Rhinolophus ferrumequinum: one gene and its partners. The main gene of each other region encodes a partner of the protein of the gene in region 4 in a complex. Links are inferred from orthologs where the notes say so. Each region holds a gene or a part of one and is shown on either strand. Other genes may lie near its edges. The genes, in order: PPP4R4, PPP4R1, PPP4R2 and PPP4R3B.

What was found.
Region 1: PPP4R3B (region 4) and PPP4R4 share a complex: the UniProt entries of both Homo sapiens proteins name them as parts of the PP4 complex. The link is inferred for Rhinolophus ferrumequinum from reciprocal best matches to the Homo sapiens genes PPP4R3B and PPP4R4.
Region 2: PPP4R3B (region 4) and PPP4R1 share a complex: the UniProt entries of both Homo sapiens proteins name them as parts of the PP4 complex. The link is inferred for Rhinolophus ferrumequinum from reciprocal best matches to the Homo sapiens genes PPP4R3B and PPP4R1.
Region 3: PPP4R3B (region 4) and PPP4R2 share a complex: the UniProt entries of both Homo sapiens proteins name them as parts of the PP4 complex. The link is inferred for Rhinolophus ferrumequinum from reciprocal best matches to the Homo sapiens genes PPP4R3B and PPP4R2.

The regions. Positions count from the first base shown.
Region 1 is NC_046289.1:8,955,296-8,962,456, reverse strand, and holds the start of PPP4R4 (serine/threonine-protein phosphatase 4 regulatory subunit 4), read left to right. Parts: upstream 1-4,143; 5' UTR 4,144-4,319; coding exon 4,320-4,442; intron 4,443-5,896; coding exon 5,897-5,970; intron 5,971-7,161. UniProt on the Homo sapiens protein: Putative regulatory subunit of serine/threonine-protein phosphatase 4.
Region 2 is NC_046302.1:8,401,845-8,409,839, reverse strand, and holds the start of PPP4R1 (serine/threonine-protein phosphatase 4 regulatory subunit 1), read right to left. Parts: upstream 3,012-7,995; 5' UTR 2,470-3,011; coding exon 2,100-2,469; intron 1,919-2,099; exon of another isoform or gene 1,791-1,918; coding exon of another isoform or gene 1,784-1,790; intron 1,576-1,783; coding exon 1,531-1,575; intron 1,486-1,530; exon of another isoform or gene 1,467-1,485; intron 27-1,466; exon of another isoform or gene 1-26. UniProt on the Homo sapiens protein: Regulatory subunit of serine/threonine-protein phosphatase 4. May play a role in regulation of cell division in renal glomeruli. The PPP4C-PPP4R1 PP4 complex may play a role in dephosphorylation and regulation of HDAC3.
Region 3 is NC_046300.1:66,761,216-66,768,525, reverse strand, and holds the start of PPP4R2 (serine/threonine-protein phosphatase 4 regulatory subunit 2), read right to left. Parts: upstream 3,006-7,310; 5' UTR 2,791-3,005; coding exon 2,757-2,790; intron 1,768-2,756; coding exon 1,686-1,767; intron 1-1,685. UniProt on the Homo sapiens protein: Regulatory subunit of serine/threonine-protein phosphatase 4 (PP4). May regulate the activity of PPP4C at centrosomal microtubule organizing centers.
Region 4 is NC_046296.1:32,150,123-32,156,981, forward strand, and holds the start of PPP4R3B (serine/threonine-protein phosphatase 4 regulatory subunit 3B), read left to right. Parts: upstream 1-3,849; 5' UTR 3,850-4,164; coding exon 4,165-4,306; intron 4,307-5,549; coding exon 5,550-5,605; intron 5,606-6,859. Other genes in the region: UDP-N-acetylglucosamine transferase subunit ALG13 homolog, read right to left, coding at 244-741. UniProt on the Homo sapiens protein: Regulatory subunit of serine/threonine-protein phosphatase 4 (PP4). May regulate the activity of PPP4C at centrosomal microtubule organizing centers.

The DNA of each region.
Region 1 (7,161 bases), on a different chromosome or scaffold from region 4:
ACTTACAAGAAGCGGAGTACAGCATTAGGAATAGAGACAGTGGAAAGGTAATGGCTGTGTGCGATGGCAGGGGGATGGTGGATGGGGGGAGGTGGGGGTAGGTGGGTTCTCACAGTGTGAGGGATATAAATGATAAACGTCTAAGTATTACTTTGTCTTGTGCACCTGAAAGTAATAAAAAAAAAAGGGGGAAAAAAAACCCCAGCTCTCCCTATTCTGAAATCATAAAACTGTTCTCGTGTATTTTCTTCCAAAAGTTTGAAAGATTTGTCTTTCATGTTCAGGTTTTTTTTATTTACCTGAAATTGATTTTTTTATATGGGCTGAGGCAGAAATTTAATTTAAATATTTTTTTCTCACACTGATAATTGCATTAGTTTCCTATTGCTACTGTAACAAATTGCCATCAATCTAGTGGCTTAAAACAATATAAATTTATTACCTTCCAGTTCTGGAAGTTAGAAGTGGGTTTCACCAGACTAACAGCAATGTGTCAGGAAGGCTGCATTTCCGTTTGGAGGCTCTAGGAGAGTTGAGTTTTTTGTTTTTGTTTTCCTTTTCCAGCTTCTAGAGGCTGCCCATCTGCAGTAACTTTCCATCTTCAAAGCCAGCAAACGGCCAGTCAAGTTTCTCCTCCATCATATCACTCTGACACCGACCCGTCCTCTTGCCTTTCTTTTGTACTCACAAGGACCCTTAGGATTACATTGGGTTTACCTAGATAATCCCAGATAATCTCACCTCAAGATTTTTAAATTAGTCACATCTTCCAAGTCCCTTTTGCCATATAAGTTAAGATAGTCACAGGTTCAGGGGATTGGAATGTGGACATCTTTGGGAGAGCATTACTATACCTCCTACAAGAATCAGTTGATTCAGTGCAATTTATCAAATCTTTCTTGAACCTGGGTATGGAGGGACACTGGTCTGGTGGTAATAACAACAACAACAACAATAACAATAATAATAGCAAACACTGTGCCAGGAATTTCTCTAAGCATTGTATGCATATTATCTCATTTAATTCTTACTACAAGACTTTGTGCTAAGCACCACTTTTATTCTGGTTTTTAAGGTGAGTAAAGTAAGGGACAGAGTGGGTAAGTACCTTGCCCACAGTAGGAAGTGGCAGAGCCAGGATTCAAAACCAGGCAGTTGGGCTCCCAATTCCATGAGCATAACTCCCATGCTATCGTTGAATGAACGAATGAAGTGAATAAATTTAGCTTCCCTTAGCTGGGTGCTCAAGCCTAAGTCACCTAACTTCTCTGACCCTCAGTTCCATTATCTGTAACACTGGAATAGTCATGCATCTCTTCTGTACTTCACAGGGCTGCTTCTGGGGCACATTGAGACAGGTCTTAAGAAAGCAGTACAGATAAGGAAAATGGGCTCCAAAAGTCGTTCCACTGGGTGTCATTGGCAGAGCCAGGACGGGGACTCAGGTTTCCTGGCAGCCCAGGGGTGGGTGTGGGTGGGCTATTTCCACCACAGGGTGGTAACTGTAGCACTTACAGATTCCAGCCATCAAACAGAACATTCCTCTTCAACAACCTCCTGCCCTGTAACAGCCAACATCAAAGGTACGTCTGTGTATTCAATCATCATTAAGAATGTTAGCAGGTGTGAGATGATGCTCTTACAAAATCCAAATATGAGCTAATACTTCTTAGCTGAAACAGGGTCAAGTTTGCAAGTATTATTATCAGTTACAAATGAGAGGAAAAGGAGAAGAATTTCACAACATGACAGAAAAGGGAGGCTGCAAGGTATTTGCTGAGGAAAACCACCTCCCTCTTCTCTTTGCCCCTTCTCGGTCCTGATCCTCTGAAGATCTACCTCTTTTTGCTTTCCCTCCTTAGTGGCATAGAGATCTGAAAACCTGGATTTCAGCTTTGGGGTAGCAACCGTTTTGTTTTGCTTTGATCTTCAAAAGGCAATATTGAAAAAAGGAAAAAGAGGAAAGGGTGGGAGGATCCACTCTACCAGTTATTAGGACATAACAAAGCAACAAGATCAGGGCAGCAGTGGTGTAAATCAGTGGAACAGCAACGAGAACCCAGAAACAGAGACGTGTGTCTATGGAGACTGGGCATACTATACAGACACCATCACACATTGGTGGGGAAAAGATGGATTGTTTGGTAGATACTGCTGGGAAAACCGGCTCAATGTGTAGTGAAAATAATATCGTATTCCAACTTTGGATGAATTAAGAACTAATTATGATAGGTAAAAGTATGAAGCTAACGAGGGGAAAATAGAGAAGAATATTTTGCGACCGTGGGTAGAAAAGATCCTTAAACAAGACCCCAAAGCATACTCTGCAAGGCTAAAATCGGATGCATTTGGCTACACCAAAATGAAGGATTTCCCCTACTCAGTAGGATAGCAGAGACCAAGATAACAGGATGCTTGAAAGATTGGGAGATATTTGCAATATCCAAGACTGACAGGGATTAATATTTAGAACATACAAGAATTCCTTCAATTCATTCAGAAAAATGATAGGAAATCTAGCAGAAAAATAGGCAAAGGATGTCAATGGGTACTTCACAGGAGAAAATCTCAGTGGTTCTTAAGTATATGTGGAAAAATGGTTAACATCACTAATCATGAAACAAATACAAATGAAAACTACATATTACTTTACCAATATCAGATTGATATAAATTAGGACATCAGATAATTACCAAATGTTATGGTATAGAGTGGGAAAACAGGAATATTCCTATCTTTATGTGCCATTCATTGGTGGGAGTGCAAACTGGCAAAGCCATTTTGGAAAGCAATGTGGCAGAGTGAAACCAGGCAGTGGAGACTCCATGACCCAGAAATTCCATTTCTTTCTTATGGTCCATGAGAGACACGTCTAATACCCATCCTAGCATTGCCTGTGATAACGAGGAACTGCTGGCAACCTAACTGTCCGTTATTTAAGGAATTGATAAGTAAAACGTGTTAGGCGCACAAATCCAATAACATCAATGGTAGGAATTAATGAGCTCTAATGCATTACGTTGAGGGAAAAACAAGAAACAGAGTTCTTAGCACAATATCATTCATGTATATTAAAAATAGATACATGAATTAAAAACAGTATCTTTCCAGGATATACACTTGTACTGGTACATATCTTAAACACAAGACAGAACGGGTAAATGGGGAGGGGATAGGAAAATGCGCGTGTGGAGAGAGAATGAGTGGAAAATAACAACGACAACAAAAAAAAGGGGGGGGCCTTGTTGACGTTTACGAGCTGAAGAACACGGTCAACATAACTCATCCCTGAGGTTCAAAAACTGCCCGTCTCACTTTCATCGCTTCCTATTCTTAATAGAAGCAAAAAGCAAGCGTCTCAACGTGGCTGCCCAGAGCAGGGCCTGCCTGTCTTCCACCCACCTTGCCAAGCACTCGCTTCCCCGCACTCCAAGTTCTACTCTGAGTGCACGTCCCACAACCCACACACATTCAGGCTTCAATCCGAAATGGCCTTACTCTGATTCATTTCTCTTGGAAAACTCTTCTGGATCGTTTAAGATTCAGTTTAAGTTGTCTCCCCTCCAGGACTCCTTTCCTGACCGCTACTTTCCCCCAAATGCTAGCCCGTCCAGGACCGCATTCCCATGCACTCCTTCCCCATCACCCCGCTACTCGCCACGGTGTAATTGCTTATTTGGGGTACACTCCCCCCAGAGCTAGAGCTGAGCTAGGCTGCTTTCTGTGTCCGAAGCTAGCCAGCTGGGGTGAGCGGACCTACAAATAACCGGAACGTCACTCCAGCTGACTAAACAAGACCCCAGCCCACCTCCCCATCCTTTGCTTCCCCTCTTATTGGTTCAGCCTCTCCGCCCCCCGCCCCCGCCCCTAGCACGCCCCCAGCCCGCCCCCGCCGGTTGCGGGAGGTGGAAGGCTCTGCGCACGCGCCGCGGGGTGGGGCGCACTCGGTCAGGGGCTGGCAGAGGGCAGAGAGGGCGTGGTCAGAGGGGCAGCGGGGGCCGCAGCGACGTTGCTCGGCAGTTGCGTCCAGGCCGCGAGCGCGCGGCGCCCGGGGGGGCGGGGCTGAGGCGGGCGCGGTGGCATCGCTCCCGCCCCTGGCCCCGCCCCCGCAGCCCGCCCCCGCGCCTCGCCCCGCCTCCTCGTCTTGCCCGTCCCGCCCCCTCGGCGGCCGCGCTCCTTCTCCAGCTGCCGGCTCGCCGCCCGCCGGGTTCCCGCGGCCGAGAGCGGGAGAAAGTCCTGCTGGTGGGCGGCCGCGGGGCTGCGCGTGTCCGGCATCCCGGGGCCGCTCCGGCCAGGGCGGCGAGGGGGCCCGGCGGTCCATGCATCCGCCGCCTCCTGCCGCCGCCTCTGCGATGGATTTCAGTCAGAACAGCCTGTTCGGCTACATGGAGGACCTGCAGGAGCTCACGATCATCGAGAGGCCGGTCCGCCGGAGCCTCAAGGTGATCCCCGGGGAGGAGGAACTGCCTGCAGGGCGCCCGGCGGCCGGCCCGGGCCCCGATTTCCGTCCCGTTCCCCGTCCAGTCCCCGAGGTGGACCGGGACCCTCTCGGAGTCCGGCCCCTCAGCCCTCCTTTGGTCGCCGTGTCACCCGAAACTGGCCCCTCTCGGGGCCCCTTCTTCAACGCAGCCCGGGTTCTCTCTGCCTGGCCCTCATCCCCGAGGGACGGGCCCCTGGCTCACTAGTCCCCTTCCCCAGTCCGGCCCCCAGGAACGGCCGGCCGAGACCCTGTCCTTCCGGCCAGTCCAGCGTGTTCCCCCCACGCCTCCCCTCTCGGACAGCCGTGGCCCCTCAGTTGCGGCCCTACTTCCCCCCGCCCCTGCAGAGCTCCGCTTCGGAGCAGCAGCCGGCTGATCCTCGGTCCTCTCTTGGGTGCCCCCCTCCGCGGCCCCCTGGTACTGCCCGAGTTCTGGCCCCACTCCTCAGTCAACACAGCCGCGACTCCTCCCCCCGCCTTTCCCCGAGACACCCCAGATCCCACCCGCCCTCCTCCCCCGCATCGGAGCACGCTCGGGTCCCCCTGTCTCCAAGTCAGCCCGGGCCTCCCCTCGCCTCCCAACCAGCACCCATACTAGAGCCATCCTGCTACCACCCATCTTCAAAGCGCTGTCAATCCTTTGCCCCCATCCTGAGTCACCACACGTCCTTTCCTTCCTTTCCTCCCAGCCCCTCCAGGACTCTAGCGGGGACCCTGCTTCTCACCCTCCTTGAGGGAGTCAACCTTCTCTAGCTCCCCCCCACCCCCCTAGCTCCCCGACCCCGCAGAGTCATCTTCCTCCCAGCTTCCCAGAGGCTCCAACCCTCACTGCTGGCAAACCTAGTTTACGGAACCCCCTGCCCACCCCCATCCTCTTAATAGCTTTTTTAGCTCCTCTCACTCCCACCTGCGGCAATATCTCAAATCTCTGATTTCCTCCCAGCCCCAGATTTTATTCGCCACCCCCCCTCCAGATTTCGTCTTTTTCATTCCCACTCGGCTGCAGTCTTCATCCATTACCCTTTTAGCATTTCCTGGGGTGGAAAATGCTGGAGAGCCTTGGGGTGGTAGAGATAAAAAGTATAGATATATTTTATGTATGCATATAAAATTAATTACAGCAATGTTCTGAAGCCGCAATGTGCTTCTCAAGGGTCAATCTAAAAGCTAGAGAGTAAAACAAGAGAGAAACAAATAAAAACCAAACCCCAAACCTCCACCACCCAAACCTAATATTAGAGACCTCTCTGATTGAGGTCATCATTAGAGTCTCCAGGCCATTGATTAGTTTTCAATGATGATGCTTAATTGTGAAACTTTTCCATTAGTCAGTAGTAGTCATATAGGGTCCCTGGAGGAGTACTGGGGGACAAGACTGATGGATATTTGTGTGCATAATTTGTATTTTACACTTGACAGACACCAGAAGAAATAGAAAGATTGACAGTTGATGAAGACCTCAGTGATATTGAAAGGGCTGTTTATCTGCTCAGGTATTTCTGAAAGTCTTTCTGTGACATTGCTGCTTTTCCCCTGTGGCTGCATAGTGAATGCTTTCTGAAATGTCACGTTATACTTATGTTCAGATTTACTTAACCATTTGAACAGAGTACTTTTTCATGCATAGCACTTATTATGTTATAAGTTAAGATTTAGATATGGACTTATAAATTTGAGAGCTGAAATCAAATAAGATACCTTGCTTACAGAGTATTGCTTGGAGGAGGAACAGAACAAGTAATGGTTTGAGTTGAACCTCATTTTTTTTTTTTTTATTCTCCAGGTTTGGTGGTTCTCATACAACATCCAATACGTTTAGATGAGATTTAAGAATATCCAGGGATTAATTTTAAGTTAATTGTAGAGTATGAACCTTACATGCTATATACCATATATTAATAGAATGTGGTAGTTCAACTTATTGCTCAGGACAGCCTGTTCATATTACTTTTGCTATGTGAACTTTATAATGTTTTATGAGAGATTTAAAAATTTAATTGTGTCTACTCTCATTTAAGTTTCATCTCACAAGCTCTACAGAATTGCTTAAGGCAAATGGTTATTGCAAATATTTACAAAATTTCTCTCAACTGTTTTAAAAATTGTGGATTTAGCTTCTTAAAAGCTAATGCAGTGAATGTTAATTTAATTAATCTATGAAAATACTTAAGAAACAAAATTTCCTAAAGTATTTTATGTACCTATGTTTTAAAAATTTTCTTTTATTTGCACATCCCTCCCTCCCCCCCTTTTTGACAAATTAGTTTTCACTTTTGTTTTTCAGAATCAGATTTTGAAAACTGGTGTTATTTACCTCCTGGGATATTTGTCATCCATGTTTCTTTAGCTTAGGTCTACTTTGCCAGTTTTAGGTGCTGACAAGTTTCTTGTTCTCCTTTCTTGTTCTCCATTTCTAGACCCATGTTATTCATTGAAGAATCCTGTAAAAAAAAATTCCATCTCAATATGTCCATTTAAAAACATTATTTTTTAGCCTTTTAGTGAGTGGCATCTTGTGTTTCGTCCTTCGTTTAGTAAGAATTTTAGCATGCTTACAATTTAGACCTTTCTTTCTGATAATTCTATCAGTTTAAAGTGTTTCTAGATCTTAGACCTTATGTTCATGTTCTTTTTGTGTTATTTGGTAGCTACTTTCATCACTTGTACCTGTTTCAAGAACACTT
Region 2 (7,995 bases), on a different chromosome or scaffold from region 4:
GCTCATCCTTTAAGAGTGCATGGCACCTAAGTGAAAATAAATGAATATGCAGAAGCTCCAGACATTCCTAAACACATGCTGAATGAATGTATCTTCTATTTACAAAGTCTTGAATCAAAATACAACAATGAGAAGCCCCTGTTTGGAGGTGAAAGCCAGAGCTATCTCTCTAATCCTAACTTTGCAATAAATCAATAGCTGCTTTAAATAACAATTTAAATTTACTCGTAGGCCGCTAAGTGCTCTAAGGAAAAACAGTAAATGAAATGTAAAAGCTGTCCTTTGCTATATGAGTACTGCTCCGTTTAAGAGAGCTTTTTACTTAATAAATAAACCCAAACTTAGCAAAAGGTAAGCTTGCATATGGTTCAATTACTTTAAAAATAATCACTCTTTTTATAGAATCTTTCTAAATAATAAATTCCCTTTACTTCACTCAAAACATCCAGGAATTGAAAAATTAAGCTTAATTTGGGCAAGGGAAACCATATTGGACAATGCTAAGGATTAATCACACAGTATTTAAAAGAGCTATTTCAAACTGTAGCTATTTCTGAATTACTTATACAGATGTTAGTCACAGTAAATCTCAGTATCCGACAGGCTTTCCACTAACTACACCACACATTCTACCACGGCTATCATTTCAACTCAGAATAATTTCCAAATTACCTTCTGTTGTTAAAAAAGCACATAGGAAATGAACATTCCTTTCTAACACTATTCTGGAAACAATATCAACTTAAAATAAAAAACAAAAACAAAAGAATCAACTCTTGTAAAACTTCACTATCTCAAAGGAAAGCTGAAATTTTAATATTTAAGGAGGTATGGATAACTTGTGAACATTTGCATTAAAGAAACATGCTTTCTAAACCTAACGATTCCTGCCAAGGCCACACCTTCTAAGCTTCCCGTAAATCACAAATCAAATGATGTGGAGCAACGTAAAAACTGCTAAGAGCTAAAGTGAAATTACAGGTAAGTCACCTCCTTACAATCAGAAACGGGACCAGCGAACCCAGGACGATAACAGGGACCACCAGGCGTCCCTACAGCTGGCCGCTAACTTGCGAGCAACTCTAAGGAAACACACCTTCCTTCCTTATAGCCTTCTTCCTCAGGAGGCTTGAGGGGAAAGGGGCGGCCCCCGGAAGGCACTCACAGAGGGGAAAACACACCCCAAATTCCCATTTCAAATTTCTGTCTACCACTTTCTTCAAAAACAGAGGGCCAGGCAGCTCCCAGGGCCACATGAGAGTTGGAGGTGATGAGAGGGGTGGGCGATGGGACAGAACCCGAGCTGGAATATTACTCAGGGCATCTCTCTCCGCCAGTGGAACGGGGGCACACCGTTTCCTCCAGAAAGCGCGACTTTCTCTCAAAATCGGGACCCCCGCCGGTCCAGGACCACGCCTCGCCGGGCAGTTCCCCCGCCGGGCCGGGCCCAGGCCGCCGCCACCCACCCTTCCTTCCCGGCCGCTCCCCGCGGGCCGCCGGCGACAGCAACGGCAGGGCGGGCGCACTCACATCCGTCCGCGTCCTCCTGCAGGTCCTCCTGGAGCAGCGAGAGGTCTGCGCCGAGGGGAGAGAAGAAAGGCCCGGTCAGCGCCTCAGGGACACTGCGCGCCGCCCCAGCCGCCCGCCACCCGCCCTCCCGGCCCCGCGGCGGCTCCCCGCGCCGGCGGCTTCGGCCCGGCAGCCACTCGGGGCGGCGGCAGACGGGCGGGCGCGGGGAGGCGCCGCCGCCGCCGCGCCACCCAGAGAACAGGGGGCCACGTACCCGCCATCTTGTGGTCGCCCCCTCCTCCTCGGTCTCCCGGGTATCCGGGGCTACATGGAGCGGCGCGAGCCGGGGAGCCGGTGGACGCGCGCGGGAGGGGCGGCGAGGAGGAGGGACGGGCCGGCGGGGACGCGCGCGCGGGGCGGGCCGAGGGCCCGGGACTGGGGCGCGGGCGGAGCGGCTCCCGGACGCCGGGGGCGGGCGGGCCCCGGGCCTCGCCCCGCCTTGCCCGGCCGCACCGTGCGGCTCCCGGGTGGCGGGTGATCCCTCCTCCCGCCTCCCTCACTCCAGGCCCGGCCCGGCGGCGCGCGCTCACAGGCTCGGCCGGAGGCACCCTCAAGCCGAGCGCTTCGGTCGAAGGCGCGCAAGCTGTGCCGCCGGCCCGGGACCCTGCGGTGTGTGCCCGGGACCGGGCGGGGCCTCCGCGGCCCGGCCCGCTTTATTGGGTCACCAGCCTCGCCCACAACCTCGCTGGCCGCAACCTTTCGCCGACGCGCCCTTCGCGGTCCCGCGCCCCCTCCCCAGGGCTGCACGTACGTCGGCGGCGATCTGGGGCCAAGCAGAGGCCGCGAGTCCCACCCTTCGGGTGGAGGAAGCGCCGCCTCCCAGCGCGCCGGGGACACTTGCGAAGTGGCTGGTAACAAAGCCGAGGGCCCGGTTTCCTGGTCGTGGAGTGAGAAAGTCATCCTTGTTCACCCGGCTTTCCCACCCTGCACGTTTAATTCTTAGACACAGAGTATTACCTCCATGTCCTGCTAATCCTGAGCTGACAAAGCGGAGATCCTCCAGCAAGAGTGTTGGCAGGCCTCAGTTCAGATCTCGATTCTGCCATTTACTTAGTAGGCATGTGACCCATTTGTAAAATGAAGGATGATAACAGTCTCTTGGGATTATTGGGATTAATGAAGAATGTCAGCAACCTAGCACAGTACTTGATATCTAGGAGGTGCTCGACGAAGGGTGCCTATGATTAGCTTTCTTTTCTTTGAATAGTTTAAATAATTTTGGCAGCACTTGCACTCGACTGAAATCTGTATTATTCTCCTTTTTTTACATGTGTTAAGTGAGTAGCTCAAGCTCTCAAGAAAGAGCAAAGTGGGGGCTAAACCTAGGTTTTCTGATTCCATTTCACACTCCTATCTCCATGACTAATCTTATCTCCAATTCTATCCAAGGCCTCCAAAATGGTAATCTCTTGAAGTGGAGAACAAAACAAGGACTTGTTTAATTGATGCCAGTTTGGGGATCTGGACTCTTGGGGAGGAGAGGGAATTATAAATAGTTAATGAGCTTTCGTCTGCTGTGTGTATCAGATCCTCTGAAATTCATGTCTGTGTGATAAAATGGGCTCTGCATAGCTATTCCAAAAACTTCCCTTTCAGATATTACAACATAGAACAAATTGTATAGTATCTACTAAATATCTGAGAGTAATAAAAATTGGAATACAATCTGTGACTCCAGTTATGTGTCTAATTTTCTCAAATACAGAGTAAGTAAAACTGAAGGCTAAATTGTCGTAATTCTCTCCTGACCTTGCAGAATGCCCTTATGTGAATTCACTGTGACACTAACTCTCAAAATGACAGGGCATTAGAAATTACAAACTAGCAACAGAAACCAACCCCAGCTGACTCAATCTGTAAGGGTTTTGCCCTGCTGTGGTACTTGGCTTGTTGACACCTACCACTTTAGTAATTCTGGGTAGAAGGAGGAAGGAAGATGATTTGGCTGTTTACACTAACTGGTGATCTCACAACACAAAATTTACAGAGTGTCAACTATTCTTCAGCCACTGTACATGCAAAGACAAAACTATCTGGACGATCTACCCAGTATAATTCTCCGTGATCATAAAATAGAGGTTACCTACCAAATGATAGCCTAGGTAGGATATGGAGTGACTAACTGCCCTTGGTCGCTAGGCCTCAATAAATTTGATCTCAGTATTCTCTGGGAAGACAGCAAAGAAGGAGGGTCTGTGTAACTTTGTCCATATTGCTCAAGACCTATGAATTTGGTTATCTTACCTGCATTACACATTATAGCATGTCCCTTTAGGGAGTATGGTGTTTAGACATTTCAGTGAGAATATCTTCATTCACAGTTCAGCACAAGTACGTGTTTTTTACATTTGATTTTCTCTCATTACTCCTTTCTCAAAGATAAGATCAACGGTTTTAAAACCAGTATTTATAAAATGCACTCTGTTCCCTCCTTAAAAAAAAATGATATCTAAAAATATAGCAATCATTATTCTATGGACCCTTACCCCATTTTCACTTACAATGTAGCCTGTGGATACCAGAAGCTGTGTATTATCTAGTCAGAACACAACACAAAGTCTTAATCCTTAACTTGCTCTGCCATTCAAATCTGTGAAATAGAGGAAATGTCACAAGTTACCTTTTAAAAAAGTGTTATCCCACTATGTAGCTACTAAGGCCAGAATGTTTCAGAATAAGTCCTCTTCCAAATGATAGTGAAAACTTTCATTAGCAGCAAGGAACCTTGGAAATTGATGATTTTGCTCTTCAAACAAAAACATAATAAACATAATGGGGAAAGTATTACAAATAAACAAAAAAAACCGCCTGGCGTTGCTTGATACTATTCCTTTTTAAAAAAATTTTTATTATATATATGTATATATATATTTATTTATTTTATATATATATATATATTTTTTTTAAGTTTTACTGGGTAACTGTGTTTTTTCCAGGACCCATGAGCTCCAAGTCAAGGAGTTGTTTCAATCTAGTTGTGGAGGGCACAGCTCACAGTGACCCATAGGTGACTGAACCGCCAACCTTGTTGTTAAGAGCACCGTGCTCTAACTGAGCTAACCCGCCACCCCTTGGACTCTTTACTTTTTTTCTTCAGCTTGATCGTTCCTAAAGCTGAACGTACATAAAAGGCAGATTATTAATTGTTGTTTTGAATAATACAAAAATTAATCAATCTGAAAATGGAGAAATACTTATATGGTAAAAATACTTTTTAAACAAATTTTTTTAACCTTTATTTTCATTCATCTCGGTGTTTTGTTTTCTTTTTTTGATCCAGATTTATGAAACATCACTCACAGACTGACATTCCCAAGTAAAAAGAACAACTATTTTCTTTTTTTTTTTTTGATTGATTGCTTTAGGTAATCTCTTACCTAAAGCTTCCCATACATACTTTGGTAAATGGTATACAGGTAAATATTTGTGTGAAATTATTCTTATCTTTTCTTCTATGCTTCTTGTCTCCTTTTAAAGCTCCATGTCAAGATGACATTCCAAAAAGTGAAATCTTAGCCTTTCTTATAGCTTTCATAATTTAGTTTTGTTTTTCGAAAACACTGGATCTCTTTTTATTCACACCAGCTACAGATACATTTTCTCACACAATCCTAAAAAAAAGGAAGTAAAAGAGGGCCGGACTAATGGCTCAGGCGGTTAGAGTTCTATGCTCCTAACTCCAAAGGCTGCCGGTTGGATTCCCACATGGGCCAGTGGGATCTCAACCACAAGGTTGCCAGTTCGATTCCTCGACTCCCGCAAGGGATGGTGGGCTGCGCCCCCTGCAACTAACAACAGGCAACTGGACCTGGAGTTGAGCTGCGCCCTGCACAACTAAGACTGAAAGGACAACTTGAAGCTGAATGGCACCCTCCACAACTAAGATTGAAGGGACAACAGCTTGACTTGGGAAAAAAAGAAAAAGAAAAAGAGAGAGAAGAAAGGAAGGAAAGAAAGTGAAAGAAAAAGAAAGAAAGAAAGAAAGAAAGAAAGAAAGAAAGAAAGAAAGAAAGAAAGAAAGAAAGAAAAGAAAGAGAAAGGAGAGAGGGAGGAAAGAAGGAAGGAAGAAAAGGGATGGAAGGAAGGAAGGAAGGAAGGAAAAAAAGTAGCTACAGAACTGAGCCCCATCCAGAGGTGTCTATTCAGGCTGCGCTTCCCAATTTACAGAACTTGAAGGTGGCCCATAGAATGAAGTAGAACATAAGCTCTGTCCCACGGTTAGCCATAGCTGCAAGTTTCTTAGCATAGGCTTGTTCTGACCAGAATAGTGCATCCTGTTACTAGAATCACCACTGTAAATCGAATATAAAGGAAAATAAATCCTTTGTTTCTTATCCACCTTGTTAAGTACTCCAGTGCTTTTCACTGTGCTCCAGATTAGCAGAGCCAAAAGGATTCTCCACTGAGCAATTTTGCAGTTATCCCAGCAGAGGTGAGGCATCCTATAAAATGTGTTCCACATATTTTAATTTCATTAGAAAAACTAAGTTGTGAAAATAGCATTAAATTAATAAAAATGGCAGTGTTGATTTTCATTAAATATCTTTCTCTTAAAATACAGAAAACATTAATTGAAATCACATTCAAAGAAATGTGGAAGAGCCTATCCCAACTTTGTCCAGCAGAGTGAGTGCTGAAGAAATGCTTATTATTCTGAATCTGAATGGATGAGTCAAATTGAACCAGGAAAAAATCATAAGTAAACCACACATTAAAACCCAGAAAAGCTCGGTGATTAAACTGTCTTGATTCTAAGATTCTTTCACACTAATGGCTGCCCTATGGTTCTATAACTCAGAAGAAATTGTTTCCATCCTAATTTCATCTTTCTGTGTATCTCTTTGTAACAAAATTGTTGTGTTCTTGGTCCTTGAGCCTTCATTCGGTAAGAAAAATATTAGCACAATGACACAATACAATTCACATACAAGATAACTAATACATTTTTTAACTTTTTATATTGAAATAATTGAAGATTCACAGGAAGTTAAAAAAAAAAAAATACGGGGAGTATCTGTGTACACTTCTTCACCTAGTTTCTCCCAATAGGTAATATGGTACATTTTGAAACATTTCGAGACCTATGTACCAGGCATTAAGCTATTAGGTTGGTGCAAATGTAATTGCAGTTTCCGACTGTGAATTTTAAATCATTATAACTAGGCTCAAACACATCTTTATTAATCAAAATAGTAACCATTACAATCAACACATTTTGCCAACGAGAAATAAGTTTGTTTATTACTGCAGCACAAAAATCCATGCTTCAGGATTCGACAAACTCTTGGAAAGCATTTTCTGTATCCTGCTGGTTGTGGAAGTGTTTTCCCTGCAAAAAGTTGTCGATATGCTTGAAGGTGTGGTAATTCATTGGCGAAAGGTCAGGTGAATATGGCAAATGAGGCAAAACTTCGTAGCCCAATTCATTCAACTTTTGAAGCGTTGTTTGTGTAACCTGTGGTTGGGAGTTGCCATGGAGAAAAATCGGGCCCTTTCTGTTGACCAATGTTGGCTGCAGGTGTTGCAGTTTTTGGTGCATCTGATCGATTTGCTGAGCATTCTTCTCAGATGTAATGGTTTCGCTGGGATTCAGAAAACTGTAGTGGATCAGAGAGGCAGCAGACCACCAAACAGTGACCATGACCTTTTTTTGGTACAAGTATGGTTTGGGGAAGTACTTTGGAGCTTCTTGGTCCAATCACTGAGCTGGTCATCGCTGATTGTCATATAAAATCCACTTTTTGTTGCACATCACAATCCGATCAAGAAATGGTTCGTTGTTGTTGCATAGAATAAGAGAAGGCAACACTTTAAAGTGACGATTTTTTTGATTTTCGGTCAGCTGATTAGACATCCACATATTGAGCTTTTTCACCTTTCCAGTTAGCTTCGAATGCCAAACAATCGTAGCATGGTCGACGTTGAGTTCTTCGGCAACTTCTTGTGTATGAGGATCAGCTTCAATGATTGCTCTCAGTGGGTCGTTGTCAATTTCCGATGGCCTGCCACCACGCTCCTCATCTTCAAGACTCTCCTCTCCTTTGCAAAATTCTTTAACCACCACTGCACTGTATGTTCGTTAGCAATTCCTGGGCCAAATGCATTGTCTCTGCTGCTTTACGATCCATTTTGAGCTCGAATAAGAAAATCACTCGAATTTGCTTTTTGCCTACCATCATTTCCATAGTCTAAAATAAATATAAAATAAACCACAAGTAATAAGTCATTAGAAAAAAAACATAAACTGAAAAATGCGCATTAAAATGATGTATAACAGGGGTGGCCAGTTAGCTCAGTTGGTTAGAGTGTGGTGCTGATATCACTAAGGTTACTGGTTCAATCCCCACATGGGCCACTGTGAGCTGTGCCCTCCTAAAAAAAAAAAAAAAAAAAAAAAAAAAGATGTATAACATAACCACATTTATT
Region 3 (7,310 bases), on a different chromosome or scaffold from region 4:
TAGAACCTTCAACTATTTATGCATTTACAGTCAATGTATTTTACCAAAAAGGGAAGAAAATTTGTACAGATCTGGCAAGATGAATAAGAGGTTTTAAGTACTTATTTCCAAATAGTTTTATATAATCTTGTGTATCAAAACTCTGAAAGTAAAATGCTTTTCCTCCTGATAATGTAGAGAGTGGTAAGTTCGGACCAACCAGCAATTTGAAAGAAACAGTGGCAATCTAATTTAGGGATTAATTTACTTTTGAAAATTGACGTCTAGTCATTCTTAAGCTTATCTATATAAATACCAGTTAGTTATTTTGCATCAATTTTTTGAAATCAAGTGTTCTAAGAGACAAAAAATGACTTTTTCCCCCAAAGGGTTCCATTTTTTAAATGCAATAAATAGAAATAAGATTGAATAGTCATATTCCTAAGTTGACTGGTAATTTTAATAAAGGACTAAGGAGATTCAGTTTGTCTACATGACCATTAAAGCAAAGAAGGTTTTTTTCTTTCTAAAATTAGGCTAGTTATTAGAAGGCCTCATTACAACCATAAGCAAACAAACATTTGCTAATAAAGCCAAAGAAAGCATACATCGTTTGCTGAAGCTTACATTCTTACATTAGGCCTCAAAAAGAAATTTTAAAATACGCAAGAAGTAGGGGAGCCCAGAGAAAGCCTACTTATTAACACTGCACCCAAAGAAAACTTTCCCTTTCCTGTTCCCCCCACTCCCTACCCAAAGACAAGACTACAAGTCACCAAATCTGCATTATTCTCTACAAATTAACTTAGCCAGTGTGCAAACAACTCCTGCTACTCAAACTAACCACAAAACAATGCAATGAAGTGTTTCTTTGAAACAATCCTAACTTTATAATTTAAGTTCCAGATTCATGACATTTGGAAATAAACCTAATAAAATGCTGAGCATATGCAACAAGTTAGCTATCCTAGAAAGTGTACAGGATACTCAAAACTATAGCAACCTGGAATTTGTCACATAATCTCTGAGTTCACAAGAGAATAAATAGAAGTGACACCTACATACATAAATATGACAAGAAAAGGTTGGATATAGGACAATGTGAGAAAATATCACCAACAAAAGAATCTAAAACAGAATCAAAGCCACAAATCCCTGGAAATAAGCCTGTTATGGCCAAAAAGGGGTCATAATGGAATAGTCATTCCTCCTTTTTTTGGCTCTTTCAGACGAGTAAATTCTAAAGGTACCCAAGCATAAATATAAAAAAAGTTAAATTTTTTTTTTAAATTCATCACAGAGTATGCATATAGAGGGTGTCAAAAACAATGTATACACATTTTAAGAAAGGAAAAAACTGTATATTTATAATACTCAATACAGACCAACAACAAAAGATGAATACAAGTCACATTTGACTTCAGCAATTATAAGAGGTGCTCAAAGTGGTTACCATCAGCATCCAAACACTTCTGATTACAGCAAACTACTGCTTGAGGAACGTTGACCAAAGTGTCTACTCGTATGCATTTTTTTGGCACCCGGGGAACATGCACTTAATAAGTGCTTTAAATGCCTGGCACTTCACTTGCTTGTATGTTTTACACAGATGAATTATTCAAATCTTCTGAAATACACGTTTTTCCCTTTTTCAAGCAATTATGAATGATACATAGGTCTACAACAAATACACGTTTTCAACTCACATTGTTTCTCCAGTCTTGGCTACATGACAAAGAAACTGATCCAGGATCGGACAAACTTCCTTTTTCCCCCTCTTTTCAAAATCTGGATACGGGAAGAAAAAAAGTTATCAATATCACTCATAAGTCCATCAACTATTTCCAGTCTCCTCTAAAAGGCAAACTTTCCTCCCAGTCCTTCCTCATAGGAGAATAAGGAAAAAAAAATTAGCCTCTCAACCAATTATCCACCTCAACTCGCCTAGAGTTACTTTCATATGTCACCCTCTGCACAGGGAACAAATATCTCCCTAAAGAGGGCACTCAGCTGCACCAACCATCCTAACGCAGTATATAAAGTGTAGCCCAGGGGAACACCCGATCAGCTTCATCTGAAAATCCAGTTAAAATTAAAATCCCAGGCCTCATTCCCCACAAATTGTTTAACTATGTTAAATTCACAAATCTGTTTTAAGAAACACTAGTCATCTCATGTAACCATGTCCAAGATTCTGCATTTCAAAGCACAATTCTCAAAAGGCTAAATAAATCACGCTATTCTAAGTTTGAAAACCACTGCTCTCAAGCCTGTTGCTTGGAAGGCGAGCATTAAGAACAGTGAAATCGACCACCTTAGAATAGGGCGCGTGGAATGACTCCAGAAGCCCTGAAAAAGGCTTACTGAGACACAAATTTAAAGTTGCTTCGCCACCCTTTCCCCCCTACCCAAACCTTACTTTTTACTCTAACCCGACGCCAGTCGTGCGGAGGCCTGACGGAGAAGAGAGCCTGCCTAGAAGGGGGCTGCGGGCCCACGACCAGCCCCCGGAGGGTGTGACGGGCTGGGGTTGTGAGAGCTTCCCCGGTTCCCCTCCCCCAGCCTAGACGCCGGCGGCGGACACAAAGCCCAGAGCAGGCGGGAGGGACCTGCCCACAGGGCTCCCGCCCCTAGGGAGGCGGGAGGGGGATGGGAACCGGGTGAGCGCACCTTCCCACCTACGCCCGGCCCCGGCCCTCGGAGCCACCCGAACTGAAGGGAGAGGAGAGAAAGTCGGGAAGGGTGAGGAGGAAGGGAGAGGGTGCAGCTACCCCCACCTTTCAGCGCCTCCTGCAGCCTCTCGATGTCCATGGCTTCCCGGCGTCCCTCGCAGCCTCCGCCTCCCTCTGCGGGTCTCTGGAGACCGGAACGCCTCCCCCCACCCCCCGACGCCCACCCCCTCCCTCGCACACACTCCCGCACGCAGGCGACGGGAGGGGGGCACCGAAGGGAGCCGGGGGAAGCGAGTGAGAGAGCGAGACCGAGAGAATGAACACCTCCCCGAGCCGCTACCACCAGCCCTCCAACATGGCGCCCGGCACGTCACCGCGCGCACGCTGCCCGCCGCCGTCCTCGTGCCCGCCGCGCGCTCCGAGCCAGAGCCCGAGAACGCGTGCGCGACGGAAGCGTGCCGCCTGGGAGGTCGGGAGCCGGAGCAGGCGGCCCCGGGCCAGCCGCTGGGTCTCTCTGGTGGTGGCCCTGATGTGCCTGCACCGTTCTGAAGGAGGAATGGTCAAACCAGGGGTTGGAGACACACCCATTGGCTTTGAGCGCCTGCCTCTTGCTAGACGTTTGATTTTCATTAGTTTACTGAACCTCACTTTCCCTTATGTGTAATGAGGGCACTAGTATCGACTACTCTATACTAATACTGTGAGAATTAAGCAAGAGTGTGTCCGAGTAGGCAGAAAACTAACACTCAGAATTACTAATAATTGCAACAAGAATCCCTCCCGGCCTGAACCTAACACTGACCCACCCTTGAGGAGAGGCAAGGTATACAGAAAAGTAATTAATTAAAAGCTTAGGGGTTGTAACCAGCTGGTTTCAAAACCCAATAAACTATTCCTGGTGTGACCTCGGACTAGTTACGTAAACTCACAGAGCGGACCCGCAGTTTCCTCATCTGAAAATGGTGATTTGTAAAACAGCCATGAGGCTGTAGCAAAATGGTGAATATGAAGCGTTTAGCACGGGGCCTGAACTTGTAAGCTATCAGTTAACCTGGCTGCTGTTTTTATCATTGTGATTTTGATTATATAAGTGCCCAGGAAGTTATGGAGGGGACCTCAGATGTCCAATCCAGCCCTGACATTTTACAAACAGGGTAACTGAGATATAGAGAGCTAGTCTGCCAAATCAGCACCAAAACCCAGAACATCTTGCTCCCAGTAAGTGGATATTTTTCTGATACTGAATTATTACACCTTTTCACCTGTCAACTAACAACTATTGGCACCAATTCAATGCCAACAGATAAATCCCCAATTCCGGGGTGCAATGAAGAAGGAAACTGTTCAGTGCAAACAGCTCAACTGTAATACAGCAAGGCTGTGAGAAAAGCAGGGCTGCAAGGTGACCCTTGGGCAAGGCCCTTCCCAGGCTAGACAGCTCTGATTTGCTCTGGTCAACTCTGCTGTGGTTCATGGAGAACTAAATCCTCACCCTTCAATAGAAAGATTAAATGTGTTCCCTGAGGGGGCGGAGTGGGGGGGCGGGCCCGCTGGCTTATACAAAGAGAAGTCCCCGCCCCTGGTCCCTGATTGGTCCATCCTTATGCAAATAAGGACTCCAAATTGTCATGGTTCATTGGCCCCAAAAGAACTTTCCTGATTGATCAGAATGGAGTTGCTCTGATTGGTCAGTGAAGATGCTAGTGAGGATGTAGCTGCACAGTTCCTATTGGACAGGGAAAGTCTTAGTCCTATTGGTTGAAATACAATTCCAAAACCTCTTTTTTATAAGGTTTGGCTCAGACAGCAGAAACTCAGTACAGGCAGGCAGTTCAGTGCAAGTTTCTCCCAAGCATGGTTTGCAGTGGTTTATGTGAGAGGTCCCTGTTTAGAAATGGTTGCTAGGCTTTGCTTTTAAATTTGAGTCCAGTTTGCCACAGGAGCCTTTCTTGGTAGACATCTTAAGTCTCAGAATCAACACTTCTCAAAGCCTGGCACAAAGCAATGAAAGGAAAGAAGGGGGCGGGGAGGAGGGAGAAAAGGCTATTTCTTGACTTGTGTTAAAAGGTGCAAATTTGGGAACAGGCATTACAACTGTTGACTCTCCCAAAAGATAGTGGTTCTGACCCTGACTCTATATGGCAGATGTGGCAAAAGCCGCCCCCCTCCACTCCAAAAAAAAAAAAAAGAAAATCCCTTAATATTGCCATCAGAGAACCAGTCACTGTGTCTGTAGACCCTTTCATTGTCCAGACATCTAGTTCAATTACAAATAACCTTGCGAAGGGGAGGAGGGAAGATTTTAATCGTACTTGACCAGCACTTACCATGCACTGGATTTAGTTTATCATGGTCCTTTTGGGTATGAAGGGGCCTACTCTCCATGTAGCAAAGCTTAGCCTCTATGTCTCTCCACTATGTTGTACTCTATTCCAGCAGGTCTCTTCCTATGAGATCTGTGTTGGACAACAGCCACTACCAGGTTTCCCCAAAAATAAGACCTAGCCGGACAATCAGCTCTAATGCGTCTTTTGGAGCAAAAATTAATATAAAACCAGGTATTATATTATATTATATATAATACATAATAATATATTATTTTACTATGTTATAGTAAAATAAGACAGGTCTTAATTTTTGCTCCAAAGGTCGCATTAGAGCTGATTGTCTGGCTAGGTCTTAAATTCAGTCTGATGTAAGCTGAGAGTGCACGGGGAGAAGAGGCAAGAAATGAGACTGTAGAATTATTTCCTTTGGTTAATTTCTTCCTTCTTCCTTGGAATTTTTCTCTAGCCAGTGTGAATCCTAGTGTCGGCAATTGCTAAAGCCTCCTACTGGTACTAATTCCCTTGGAGGAAAAGAGAATACAAATATGACAGCCAGCCTCCAGGATTGCCCCCAATGATCTCCACCTCATTCATGCACTAGTGTAGTCTCCTCCCACTCTCAGTCAGAGCTCATCTGTATGACCAGTAAAAGTACAGCAGAAGGGATGGTGTTTGTCTTCTGAGGTAGGTGATAAAAGGCACTGTAACTTCTGTCTTAGGCTCTTGGATTACTCATGCTAGAGGAAGCCAGGCACCATGTCATGAGAACATTAGAGCAGCCCTCTGGAAAGGCCCAAATGGAGAAGGACTGAGGCCTTTGATGTAGGTCCTTCAGCCCCAGGAAGTCCTTCAGATGACTGCAGCTGGCATCTGGACCACAATCTTACGAGGGATCCCAAACCAGAACCACCCATGTAAGCCTCTCCTCAATTTTTGATCCACAGGAACTATGAAAGATGACAAATGTTTGTAACTGTTCTAAGCTTCTAAATTCTAAGATAATTACACAGCAATGGGTAACTAATGCAACAAATGAGAAAATAGTAATAGCTAACATTTATTAAGTATTTTCTATATGTCTAGCATTCTTCTAAGCAGTTTACAAAAATATATTTAATCCTTGCAAAAATCCTATGAGAGAGGTGATATTATTATCTTTACTTAACAGAAAAGAAAACTGAGGTATAAATAGGTGAGCTAACTTACCCAAGGTCACACACAACTACACAGGCAAGTGACTGATCCATGATTCAAACAGAGACTGACTTCAAAGCTCCCAAACAGTTTCTTGTCTTCAAGAAGGTTGCAAACTATCAGAAAAGGTAAGATGTGCACATAGACTCCAATGTAAAGTAGAAGGCAAGTACCTGAATCCCGTGGTCAGAGGCCTGTGATCTCTTCCAGGCAGGGATGACAGTTGCTCTTTAGAAGGGCCTCACTTAATGACTGGGAAAGATTTGCACCTACAGAGAAGAGTCCTCCAGGCAGAGGGAATGGTATTAACCAGGCAAACAGTCCATGAGGGCCTCCTACCATGTTTCCCCAAAAATAAGACCTAGCCGGACAGTCAGCTCTAATGCGTCTTTTGGAGCAAAAATTAATATAAGACCCGGTCTTATATTACTATAATATAAGACCGGGTATAATATAATATAATATAATGTAATGTAATATAATATAATATAATATAATGTAATATAATATAATATAATATAATGTAATATAATATAATATAATATAATACTGGGTCTTATTTCATTATAAGACCGGGCGTAATATCATATCATATCATATCATATCATATCATCTCATCTCATCTCATCTCATCTCATATCATATCATACCGGGTCTTATTTTAATTTTTGCTCCAAAAGATGCATTAGAGCTGATTGTCCAGCTAGGTCATATTTTTGGGAAAACATGGTGGGTACTGGGGAGATGATGTGCATTCAATCTCTTCTCCACTACTGATCTCATGGTCTAATGGGAAAGATGAACTTTAAACAAACATGAACATGCAGGAAGAGTAGCCCACTGCTCGTGGTGTATGCAGAAAAAGACTGTACTTGAGAAAACTTGGAGTAGAAGGTGGAAGATAGAAACAGAAAGAGAAGTGGGAGAAGGAAAACAGCTGGACTGTGTCACAGAAAATGTGCAAGGATCTATTCATAATTCCAGGGAGAATTACTGGAGTTTGGCCATCCTTCTGACATATAGGAAAGGAGAAAAAGAGGGAATTGAGGGAAAGTCTAGAAAAACCCACACCCTAGTGGGGGCTGGAGGACAGTGAATAGGCAGCCTAAAATACCACTATAGAGAGCCTTGGAGGCCC
Region 4 (6,859 bases):
CTAAAATATGAAAATTGGCGGACAAAATCTAATAAATTTACTAAATTATAATTATGATTTGGACCCAAATGCAAATATTCACACCATAAAATTTTCTAAGATTCTTATAGATGTAGGAATTTTATTAATATATATTATTCTGCAAACATACATATTTAATCTGATTTAACCACATTCCATAGGTTAGATCTGGGGGAAGCGGGGGGTAGAGGGGCTGTTTTTCAACTGTTGAGAGTTTAGTGTTTATTTTTGTAATCCAACAACTTTATCCAAAAATGCAGAAAATTTTTCTGGGTGGCCAGGAGGAAAATATTTCACTGTTGATAAGTCCACTGACTGTAACAGCCCAGGTAGTGTGCTGCAGGTACAGTAGAAGAGATGTCCATCTTTGTGTAGCTGCTTTGCCAATTCCAGCTGATGATTGTTCATCAACTTTTCATTTACAACCACTACAAGTGGTTTTCTTTTTTCCAGAGTCTCCAAACAGCTTCCTGCACCTGCGTGACTAATAACAAGATCTGCTTTCTCAAGGTCTTCTTTCAATGAATCCTTATACCTGTAAACATCCAGAGTAAATGACTCAGTACTGAATGGTTCAGGCACCACCTTTCCTCTACCTATTTGTAGAACGAGTCGGTTGTAACCAAGGCTCTTGAAGATTTGCAGACTGTCGTGTGCTGACACACACGCAATGAGGTCGTCAAAGCTGGTGGTCCCCACAGTAACAAACACGCACTTCATCCCGCAGGTTCTGAAGTCCTGAATCCTTGGAGTGGAATTTTGATGACTGCCTGAAGAAAAAAAACTTTTCTGGGAAAAACACATTGCTGCAGTACAGTACTGTTCTCAGACCCAAGTAAGCACAGGCCGTTTTAGAGGGACCCGCTCTGGCCTGCTAGCCGTGCTTCTCTCCAGGAGGTGATAAGTTCATGAAACCATGGGATGTGTTCACCTGGAACCCACTCTCCCCTTTTTAGACCATGGTCTGGGCATCCTGGAATTCCTCGCCCCAAAAGCCAAGCCTGCTTCCAAGGTCTACACAGTGCTCTTTCCAAGTTCTGTCCTAAAGAGTAACCAAGGCGTGACTATATTCAGGGAGTGTAGACAGGGCTTGGACAGAGGTTGGGGTATCCTATGCGTGCAAATAAGGGCTGTCAAAGTGCAGGACAGTGCTGAGGTGTGAGAAGAGAAGGAAGTCAGACTAAGGGCCCTGGGGGCCAGAGGGAGATGAGTTCTGACTAGGTCAAGAATTCCAGATATGAATCTGGCTTCCAGGTCATTATGAAAATATGTTTGTTAAAGTATACCAAAGGTTGGAGAATAAAATATATATTTTTTAACATGATTAGCTTGATTTAAAACTTACAAATATTTAGACTTATGGCATATGGTCTTCCATTTGTATGCTTGTCCTGAGCTTTGTAAATGTCAATTTCTACAAATGTTAGATGGGACTGCTGCAGAAGAGATGAGAGTGAATCCCTGTGACCTAGTGGAAGAAAACAAAAAAAAAGAACATGTGCCTGAGAACCTAGCAAGGGGCAGACATGAGTCCCATTTAACTTTGCTCCCTTATTTCTCTGAGTCACCACATCTCAGGGGCTAAACCAGGAAAGAGATTCTGAAGGGAAAATGGGAGGGATGCTTTGAAATACTAGTCAGATCATTTCACTCCTCAATTCAAAACTTTCCAATGGATTTGCAACTCATCCAAAGTAAAATCCAAGACCCTTCAAAACACCCTATCCCACTCCCAACCTTATTCCTCACCATTTTCCCCCCTTTTCACCCACTTCCTTGCTATCCTCCCTCCTTCAGCATGCTGCAGCATGCTAGGCCTTTGCACTTGCTTTTCCAGCTTCCTGGCTCTCCTGCCCTGGGGAAATGTTTGGCTGATTGGTTGCCTCAGAGGACTTCCTTGATAAACACCATTACCCTTCCCTAATTCATTCTCTAACCTTTTGCTACTCTATTTTTGGTCATAATGTTTATCAGTACCTGGCATATATTTGTTTTATTATTTCCCTATGCTATAATGTAAACTCCATGAGAAGATGGACTTTTTCTATTTTATGCATTGTATAGAACAGTTTCTAGCACATAGGAGTAGTATATGCTCAACAAACACTTGTTGAATGACTGAATAAATTCGGAAAATGACTCATTATTTGACAATTTTGTCCAGTTAGATCTACTTGTAGGCTATTAACCTCTTAACATGTATAATGTTTAAGTGACGTCTTTATAATTCTCACTCCTTTAACATATATATAACATATATATGTTCTTTTAGGCCACTAGCACATTATCATTTTGTTCATTCACTCTGTCCCTTCAGCCTTGAACACCTTTGCAAGCCAAACTCCCACTCAGGGATCCTCTTACATCAAGCTCAAAGTTATCTGTATCAAGTTTTCTTTGACCCGAGACAGAAACGTTATTTTCTCCGGGCTCAAAATGCATTTTTTCCACAGCAATCATAGCAACTAATGAGCCAATTGTTATGTAAAACTACTTGATTCAAATACATTTTCTGAGGTCCTCTTTAAATTAAAAAAAAAAAATCCTATGTATCCAGATTTTGAAATTATAATTTATTTTTTTTTATCAGGCACCTGCTCTGAGTACGGCATTGTCTCACGTTTTAGTGTACCGCTGAATGGTGTCCACACAGAAGAGCTGATCAAAACAAAAGCACGTTTAGACACGACCACAAATTAAGTAATGACTACAATTCCCAAGATGCCCTGCAGAATCAACGTGTACTTCTGGCCCGGTTTTCACCTTTCACGCTAATGGGTTGTAAAGAACTGGCGGCTGAACAAACTGAGACGCTTTAAGAACCCGGATTAAAATAAACGACTGCCCAGTGCATGATTTGTAGCCACCGCGCAATGTTTGACACGGTGTTGTTTGACAACGTGAATGCCGAGAGAATTCCTCCTTTGTTTATTCAGCACAGAAGACCTCCCTATAGATAACGCAAGAAATGACAAGAGAAAACTCAAAATTATCAAAACAATGCTCCTAGATGTGTTAGAAAGGTAACTCCCGCAAGTTCCCTAAATTTATCTAAAGACTTATTTTCCGACGTTACAAAAACACAGGAAGGGCACACTGTATTTTCTAGAAGTGGGAAGTACGTTTTTCAATGGCCAACTACCAAAAAATCTAATAACAGTGAAACGCTTTGGCGGGAAAGGGGTATTGTCAATACACTTTTTTGTACGACGTTACAATTACCTGGAGATCCACAGAACACTTCCTGAGGGGACACTTAAAATGTAACAGACTCCACAACGAGTTTTAGTGGATTTCGGGTTACCCTAAAATACTCCAAGTTCCTCTGTCTTCACAGAAAGAGGTTTAAACTATTTTGCTCCCACAGGCTAACAGAATGAGCTTCCAATAGGAATGCGAATCCCTTTTTTTGCCCAGGGTTACCCGGTCCAAGGGTGCGTACCTTCCGGGTTTGCTTTGCTTTTCCTCAGAGCTGGGTCCCACGACTAGCCGCACATCAGGTGCAGTCAGCAACAGCACCGAGGAGAATCCACAACTAAACTCTCGCTCTCCACTCAGACAGGTCTCGCGGCAAAAGGGGCGGGGTGGGGAGCACCGGGAGCTCGCGAGAACCACACACATACAGCCGAAATCTCGCGCCAGTAGGCGGGGCCTAGAGAGGAAGTTGCAGTTAGGCCCTCCCACCCCGCCTCGAGAACGCCGAGCACTGCTGGCCCGGGAAGCGCAGGCAGCAGCGGAGGTGCCGCGCGTTGGGCTCCTCGGCCGCCGTAGCCCCTGCTAGGACAGCCCGTGCGAGCCTGCGGGAGGAGGAAGAGAAAGGCAGAGAGAATCGGGTTACAAGATGGCGGATGTGCTGTAGTTAACGCGGCGGCGGCGGCGGCGGCGGCGGCGGGAGGGCTAGCGAGCTCTGGGGGGCAAAGGGAGGGGAGGGTGGGTGTGTGTGGGGGTGAAGTGAGAGGTAACTGGGACTCCGCGCGGACAGGTCTCGGTGACTCTTGTTGACCCTTCCTGCGGCTGAACCTTGGGAGTCATGGTGAACTCGGGCCTCTCCGGAGCCGCCGCTGCCGCCGTCTCTCAAGAGTGAAGGGTGCGGACGAGGTGAACGAGGAGGCGGCGGCTGGAGCGGTGGAGACAACAGCCACGATGTCGGATACGCGGCGGCGAGTGAAGGTCTATACCCTGAATGAAGACCGGCAATGGGACGACCGAGGCACCGGGCACGTCTCTTCCACTTATGTGGAGGAACTCAAGGGGATGTCGCTGCTGGTTCGGGCAGAGTCCGACGGTAAGGTTATTGGAACGGTAGGATAGGGGACAGTGCCTCCAGTTTGGGCACAGCCGTGGGGTTTAGGCCCGAGGCAAGGTACTGTTACTACCACCTCTTGGGACAACGCATTGATTTGTTCCCGCACCTCTGTACGGTGAAAACAAACTACTTTCTCCGGAATTTACCCTCAGTCAGATGCGGATTCTCCGTTCCCCCGCCTACTACCCCTGTTAAGGATTTGACCCCTTCCTCTCCAGTCTTTTCTCTTTTGAAGAGAGGAGAGCGAGAGAAGGGAGAAAAGTAATGAGAGACAAGTGATCTCCAGGCGTCCTAGGGAACCGACCCTCCCCCTTCTTATTTTTCCTTTTACCCCTTATATGTCTGGTACAGAAGGTTTAGTGAAACTTTTCTTTCTGAGTGTCTTTTTTTTCTGAACCGATTTTACCTACGAGCCCCAGTTGCCACAGTCGACAGGTGTTGAGGAAAACCAACAGGCACCTTTTAAAGCCCGGGGTTATTGCAGACTGTTGCCACAATACATGCACGCACAAGCGCATAAATCTTCAGTTTGAGATCCCTCCAGGCTGCCTTTGTAGGGGTGCTGTGGATACTTTAGAACCGAAACAAGTTAGGACACCAAAGCAGCATGTAAACTTAATTAAAACACCTTTCTCGTAATCTGAACGCCTCGATTTGAACAATTAGGTGCAGCTAATAGAAAAATAACCTTAGATTTATTCTTGACGTATTTTGTACCCTTGCACTTTCTCTTTTATTGTAAATAGTTATGAACATTTATTTCTACATGAGGTGTCCTTCCTTTTGTTCTTAAGGAGAAAAGGATAAATGCAGTGCTGTAATTTCTCTTTGTGATCCTTTGTAATTTGTTTTATTTGTTGAACTGGAAATGCAATAAAATAACTTTGTTAAAAAGACTTTGGCTTCAAGTGGTCATTTAGACCTTAAAATTTTCATTTCAATAAAACTTTAATGATCATCTAGTCTGCTTATATTCTTGGTCTGAATGTTGATCTTAGATGGATTTTTTTCCTTTAAGGGTTTGTGGGGATAGGATATGTTCTAAATTAAATACAAAGCCCAGATCTGGAGAGAAAAATGTGAATTGGAATACATTTGATTACTTCAGATGTCTAGCTGAGTGAAGAGAACACTTTTATTTTTTAAATGTGGACTCTGATTGTTTTCTTTTATTCAGGGTCTTATAAATTGAAACTTATAAATATTATTTTTTATCTTTCAGGATCACTACTCTTGGAATCAAAGATAAATCCAAACACTGCATATCAGAAACAACAGGCAAGTAGTTGTTTATGTTTAATTTGAAAGACTTCATCTGTGATCAAGGAAGTGTTAATCTGACAGAGATGGGAAAACTTTCCTGACAAGAATGAACATGTTTGGTACACAAAATTACAAACCAAATGTATTTCCCTTGCAGGTTAAAAGTTGCAAACTGAAAAGTAGAAGTTTTTGTATTGGCAATAATTTATTATCTTTGAATTGAGCCACTGTTGCTTTATATTAGAATACAATGTATTCTTTAGTCTTATTTAACTTAACCAGTTAGCCAGGTCTCTGTTATACCCTGTACACTAAGCTTTTTATTCTCATTTAAAGGAAATGGCATACAAGAAAATTCAAAGGGGTACTCTTTAAAGCAAGGAAAGGCTGTTTGTGGTGTGAAATTAGATCCTTTGACTCAAGCAAAGGTAGAGTTTTGAAGTAGAAACATTTAAATCCTATTCTTTATTGTATATTTTAATATAATAATGGATACTTTACAAAAGTGTACATTGTCGATCATGTAATGTTTTCTGTTAATATTTGTTGTTTTGTTTGGGAAAAGAAAACCTGTGTTGTGTTTTAGCATACCAAATTATTTAATCTGGAAATAGCAGCAGTGATTCAGCCTTTTCTTTATTCTGTGAATGTTTTCATTTTTAATATGAGAGGTTCAAATTGAAAATACAGAGAATAATATAATGAGTGTCTGTGTACTACAGCCAGATTTAACAATGTTAACATAACCATATTTGTTTCAGATATTTTTGTAATGTTGAACGTTGTGGATAGAGTTAAAGCCCCCTTTGTATCCATCTCATTCTATCCATTCTCTATCTTACCTATAGGTAACTACTATTCTGAAGTTGATGTGTATTATTTCTGTACATGCTTTTATACCTTTCTACATATGTATGTATCCATGAATAATATGTAGTCTTGTGTGTGTTTTTAAACTTTACACAGTTGATCTCGTACTCTTACATGTATTCTGCAACTTTCATTTTTCATTCGTTATTTTGAAGATATGTTCATGTTAACAATGTAGATCTAATAGGATTTTTAAAAAAAACACTGTATAGTATTCTGATGTATGATACCCACCTATTAGACACTTGAATAATTTCCAGGGTTTTGTGTGTGTGTGTGTGTGTGTGTATGTGCCCGCACGCGCGCGCAATATGTAAAGTGAATATATGGCAGAGATTTTTGAAGGAAAAGATAAATTATTTTAAGATTATATTTATGTCATCAATGCCTACTTTCTTC